2 linked regions of the Danio rerio genome follow. The protein of the gene in region 1 purifies or fractionates together with the protein of each later gene. This does not show direct contact. Links are inferred from orthologs where the notes say so. Each region holds a gene or a part of one and is shown in the gene's direction. Other genes may lie near its edges.

What was found.
Region 2: the proteins of cep290 (region 1) and cep97 purify together in Homo sapiens (co-immunoprecipitation; 4 studies listed by BioGRID and IntAct, with this or other methods). This does not show direct contact. The link is inferred for Danio rerio from reciprocal best matches to the Homo sapiens genes CEP290 and CEP97.

What each region holds. Positions count from the first base shown.
Region 1 is NC_133200.1:18,927,701-18,931,535, reverse strand, and holds part of cep290 (centrosomal protein of 290 kDa), read left to right. Parts: intron 1-864; coding exon 865-1,320; intron 1,321-1,875; coding exon 1,876-2,040; intron 2,041-2,121; coding exon 2,122-2,229; intron 2,230-2,342; coding exon 2,343-2,477; intron 2,478-2,862; coding exon 2,863-3,126; intron 3,127-3,209; coding exon 3,210-3,317; intron 3,318-3,461; coding exon 3,462-3,661; intron 3,662-3,741; coding exon 3,742-3,835. UniProt on the Homo sapiens protein: Involved in early and late steps in cilia formation. Its association with CCP110 is required for inhibition of primary cilia formation by CCP110.
Region 2 is NC_133176.1:204,920-207,359, forward strand, and holds the end of cep97 (centrosomal protein of 97 kDa), read left to right. Parts: intron 1-194; coding exon 195-633; intron 634-845; coding exon 846-921; intron 922-1,169; coding exon 1,170-1,457; 3' UTR 1,458-1,867; downstream 1,868-2,440. UniProt on the Homo sapiens protein: Acts as a key negative regulator of ciliogenesis in collaboration with CCP110 by capping the mother centriole thereby preventing cilia formation. Required for recruitment of CCP110 to the centrosome.

The sequences.
Region 1 (3,835 bases):
CAGTGCAAAGATGTATGGATGCAGTCCTCCAAGGTCATGGGAGTCATACACAATAATAGTTCTTTTTCCACTGCACCTTTATATTCTATACTGTACATTATTTCTGTTAAGTTACATGACATTTGTCTAAGCAAAGTCAGACCTTACTGTCCTAATTAAATAATTAAAATTCAAGGCATGATCATATTTCAGTTTGGTAAAATAAGCGTAATCTAGAGGCCTTTGTCTTTCATATAAGACACTTTTGATACCAAATGATCAACTGGAAGTTGCATTATTCTCTGTTGTTCATAAAACTTGGATAGGCGACAAGAATTTTGTCAGGTAGTGTATACTACACACAGACACTCACAGAGATATACTTATATTCTTGGATTAATACTAACGGCATTAGTTGTGAGACATTATAGACGGATGGTAATAATTTTAGAAGTGACATACGAGAGTAAAAACTATATAGAAACATCAACATTATGTTTTGTTTATTGATATTAATAAGCCCTGCTGCACTTCTCCAGACATGCCCACACTTCCCTGGAATACAGATTAAAAATGTAAGGGAAAAAAATCAAACAATATCAAATTACACACTTTTTAAAAAAAAAGTGGAATTTTAAATTGGAGCAAAAAAAATCTAATTAATGCCCAATTAATGTTCAGAGTACTTAATAAAATTCTAATTTAAAATAAAAGCGTATTAAATGTTCAACGTTGCATTTTCTTACGTTCATAATTTTTTTTTTATTAAAAAAAGGAAAGGAAATCTTGATTTTCATCTGCTTTTGAGAATCGTTATTAGAATCATGAAATAAAAAAACAATTGATTGAAAATTCTTTGTTAATAATTGCACTTCTCCTCTTCAGGCTGAGTCTGATGAAAAGGCCCTGATCGCCAAACTCCATCAGCACATTGTGGCTCTCCAGCTGAGCGAGACCACAGCAATTAGCCGTCTGGAGGCCGCAAACACACGTCTGCAGAAACTGGAGGCGCAGAAGCTCCGTGACGAACAAAAACTGGATGAGCAACAGCAGGCACTCTGGCACGCGAGGCAGGAGGGTCACCAGCGGGCCAGACACCTCCGGCACACCATCCAGGCCCTCCGCAGACAGTTCTCAGGAGCCCTGCCGCTAGCCCAGCAGGAGAAGTTTTCAAACACCATGCTCCACCTTCAAGAGGACAGGGCTCGGGTCAGAGAGGATGCACAGATAGCAGAGGAAGAAAGAAGGAAGGCAGAAGGGAAGGCGCAGGAACTGGAGCTAAAGCTGAAAGGCTTGGAGGAGCTCATAGCAACACTCAAAGATGCTAAAGGGGCTCAAAAAGTAGGTTGATTGATTACAGACAAAGCTGTGATGTGAAAAAATACCTAGCTACATTTTCAAGAATAAGTTGTGTATGCAATTTCTAAAAAAATAATGCACATTTATTGTGATGATAGAGTCTAGATGGATAAATGAATTATAAACAGTTTAAGAGTGGATGGATGGATGGATGGATGGATGGATGGATGGATGGATGGATGGATGGATGGATGGTAAAAAGGGGCTGTAGATCTATGGATGGGTAGAGACAATTGTTGGATTGCTGGATGGATAAATAGCTAGAGTCTATGGAGAGATTAAGTGGATGGATAAGATGATGGATTAACTGATATTTAGAAATTATGAATGGATGAATGGATAGAGTATATAGCAATATATAGATGTATAGATAGATAGATAGATAGACAGACAGACAGACAGACAGACAGACAGATGTGATTTTTGTTTAGAAATGCATATTAAAGGTTTACATAAATTAAGTTACTCATATTAAAAGTGTTTCTTAGTGTATTTAAAATGTACAATAAGTTTACAGCTTAATCTCCATCCCTACAGGTGAGTGAGTGGCATAAGAAACTGGAGGATGTTCGTCTGTTGGAAATGAGGCAGAGCAGAGAGCTGAACACTCAGAAGGAAGAGATCAAATACCTGAAGAACTGTGTGGCAGAGCAGGAACGCACCATCAGTGGCCTGGAAGAAGAGCTGGTGCAGCAGAATAATGTCAGTATTGCATTGAAACACTTTTTGACATTATATATAGAGCAAACTTAAATCTAGTCCTATTCGCTTTCCTTGTATCAGCTACTCGAGGAACGCCAGTTGATCTGGGATCAGAGAGAGGTGCAACTGGAGCGTCAACTTGACTCCTATGAGAAACAGCAGAATGAAGTTCTGAACACAGCTCAGAAGGTACCGTCAATACAAAGTCTTGGCAGACATGGCAAATGTTTTTACTGTACTCTAGTATGCTGTTTTCTGAAGGAAAGTTTAACCTGCACTTAACCTGTCCTGTCTGTGTTTAGTTTGAGGAAGCCACAGGTTCTCTGCCGGATCCAAACCAGCCTTTAGCAAACCAATTAGACTATGCACTCGGAAAAATCAAAGAGCATGTTCGTACCATTCTTGAGACAAAAACTACCTGCAAAATTCTGGAAGAGGTACTTTTTAATCCAAGTTTAAAATCAATTCACCTTTACTTTACCAAAAGGCCTAAATATGAAAGTTCATGTAAAAATAATCGAATTCCTTCATGTGATGGGGGCTGTCATGTTAATCTGTGCTAAAGTGGAGCTACTGGCTTTATAGCACATGAATTCATCCACTTATGTTGAGGTTGGGGAGAAATGTATTACAATAATACAATTTATGTGAAAAATAATTTTTGAAATGATAAGCATGAGTAAACGTTCTAGTACGCCACTAAAACAAAATCAGATCTTAGCACAGCAGGACCATTTTAATGCTCTTCTAAGAAAAATGTAAGATTTGGATAAACTTCTCCTTTAAGGGTGTCTCAAAAGCATTTTCTTTTTCTCTGAGCAGAAGCTAAAAGAAAAGGAAGCTGCTTTATGGTCATCAGAACAGAACGTTTTATCTCGAGACAAAGTAATCAATGAACTTAGACTTCGTCTACCAGCTGCTGCTGAGAGGGAGAAACTCCTGGCTAACCTGAGCAAACAGGAGGACTCTGAGAGCCAGCCCACCCTGAAAGTCGCTCACCAAACCATTAATAACCTCCAAGGGCGTCTGGATCAGAAAGAAGAGGTTCTCAAAAAGTACCAGAACCTTCTAGGAAAGGCTCGCCAGGTACCAGTTTAACATGTTGTAAAAATTGATAACTGTGTTTTTATTGCACAATTAAAATAAAATATCCCATCTTATTTTTCCAGGAGCAGGAAGAGATTGCCAAAAGACATGAGGAAGAGGTCCGGGCCCTTCATCAGAAACTAGACGTCTATATGGACACATCTCTGGACCGCTTCAAACAAACCGCTCTGGTACCTTGAGTATTAATTATAAAGCTCTAATTGGGCCAGAAGTGAATTAAAAAAACAAACATGGTGTACAAAATGAATGTAATAATATCATAAAGCATTGCAGTTGTCATTTTTATTAGGTTAGTCAAGTTTTTTCTTCTGTAGGAGCTCATTAAGAAACCCACCATCACCGTACCGACAAGTAAACACTTGGTCCGGTTGGCAGAAATGGAGCAGACGGTGGCTGAGCAGGACAATTCCCTCTCCTCACTCTCTCAAAAGCTGAAGATTGTCACTCAAGAGTTGGACCAACAGAGACAGGTGACAGCGGCTCAAGCCATGGAACACGCTGCAGATATGGCCAGGTGAGAAATCGCGTGAATATGTTATATAACATCTATTTAATGATTCCTCATGGCAAATTGAACCATCTTGTCATTCCAAGATTGGAGGATAAACATGCTGCCCAAATGAAGGGTCTGTCCCAGGAGGCAGAAGAGCTGAGGGCTCAACTCATTCAGATGGAGAAAGAGCTGCAT
Region 2 (2,440 bases), on another chromosome or scaffold:
GTGTGTGTGTGTGTGTGTTCTGCTGATGTTTGTGTGTGTGTGTGTGTGTGTGTGTGTGTGTGTGTGTGTTCTGCTGATGTTTGTGTGTGTGTGTGTGTGTGTGTGTGTGTTCTGCTGATGTTTGTGTGTGTGTGTGTGTGTGTGTGTGTGTGTGTGTGTGTGTGTGTGTGTGTGTGTGTGTGTGTGTGGTGCAGATGTGGAGCCTGCAGTTCGGGTGAACGCGTGGATGGACTCTGTGTCTCCACCCTTGGCCGCTCCTCCCCCCTCCGCTCCTCCCCCCGCTGTGGCTGCAGACGGGCTGCTCCTGCAGGATCTGGAGGCCCCGGGGCCGCTGGCGTCTGAATCTGCCGCTCCTCCGGCTTCAGCTCCTGACAGCGGAGAGGAGGAGTTTGAGGACTCTCTGGCTCCTCCCACATCCACTCAGCACCGTGCCCCAGGGGAGGAGCCAGTGTGTGGGGGCGTGTCCTCAGAGCATCAGCAGTGTGAGCCGCAGGACGCCGCCGTGAGGATCCAGAGCTGGTGGAGGGGCCAGTGGACTCGCCAGCGCCACCCGCAGGCCAGAGCGGTGCGTGCAGAGATACGCATGCGGAGGATGCAGGACCACATCATACACCTGAGCACACAGCTGGACAGGTGAACTGTTTGTGTGTGTGTGTGTGTGTGTGTGTGTGTGTGTGTGTGTGTGTGTGTGTGTGTGTGTGTGTACTTGTGAGGTAAAGTGGAATGAAGAGCGCTAGAGGTCAGAGGTCGGCTCATCTCTGCTCCGAGAATTGAAGATGACTCTAGTTGAGATCAAGCACAGCGTGAACTGAAGAGTGTGTGTGTGTGTGACTGCTTTGTTTCAGGGTCCGCCGGCAGCAAGAAGAAGAGCGACTGCAGAGACGTGTTCAAGAAGAAGCAGTGAAGGTTCTGTGGAAACAGGTCAGTGAAAAACACACACATAAACACACACAGACACACACACACACACACTCACACACACATAAACACACACAGACACACACACACACACACACACTCACACACACACACACACACACATAAACACACACAGACACACACACACACACACACACACTCACACACACACACACACACACACATAAACACACACACACACACACACACTCACATAAACACACACACACGCTGAACATCTGCTTCTCCAGCTGCAGGTGTTGTTGCAGTGGCAGGCGTCTGTGGACCAGCGGCTTAACACAACACACACTCCTGCGCTCAACAAGACACACACTCCTGCCGACAGCGCAGCACACACTCCTGCAGACAGTAGCACTGACACACACACACACGCTGATCTCTCGGTGCCGGAGTGCGGTTCTCCGTGTGTGAACAGCAGCGCCGCCTCTGGAGACGCGCAGAACTGCAGTCTGCTGGAGCAGTACCTGAGCTCCGTCCAGCAGCAGGACGAGGAGGAGCGCGCCGCACACGACCTCTGACCTCTGACCTGACCGCACCGAGGCATTATGGGATGTTGAAGGTCTCTGCCCTCGTCAGCAGTCGTGTATGATTAAACATCAGTTTTCTGCCAGTTCTCTTCAGTGCTGCTGACGGAGGCTCCCTAAGAAGTGCTGATGCTGTCTGAGTGCACTTACTGGTGCACATCTCTCCTTCACAGCCTGCAGCTGTAGATGAAGACGCCGCCGTGGAGTAATGTCAATGTGTTGGTCATCTGCTGCAGTTCAACCCCGCAGAGAGTTTAGCAGGCTTCAGTGTGTGTGTGTGTGTGTGTGTGTGTGTGTGTGTGTGTGAGCGCGCTCGGCATGTGCTGCAGCAGTCTTCAGTTGAGTGTTTTGTATGTCAGATGTTTTACAAATCATTTTTGTAAATAAAGTTTTAATTTCCTTCACCGCTGTGTGTGTGTGTGTGTGTGTGTGTGTGTGTGTGTGTGTGTGTGTGTGTGTGTGTGTGTGTGTGTGTGTGTTTATTTCCATCAGGAAGATTGGTCTAACACAGTGGTTCTCAAACTGTGGTACGTATACCACTAGTGGTACGCGGGCTTCCTTCTAGTGGTACGTGGAGGGATGCAATATGGCATGTACATGCTACATATATTTCCAAATTTATCAAAAATGATGTATATAGTATGCCATACATGACATACAGCCTATATTTCTGAGGTATTTTGCCACATTTTTTTAACTGTGCAGAGTTGTAGCTGCTTTACTGGGCCTACTACACTACTGTATTTCAATACTGCTCATTTTGGTGGTACTTGGAGAGACTATTTTTTTCTGAGGTGGAACTTAATGAAAACAATTTGAGAACCACTGGTCTAACACATTATTGTTCCCTCATGTGGATTATTCAGTGTGCAGAAATACACAGTATATGTTATAAACACTGAGCTGATGTTGATACTCCGAATGCCGCTAGATGGCGCTCTCCGTGTTCCTGCAGTGTGTGTGTGTGTGCGTGTGTG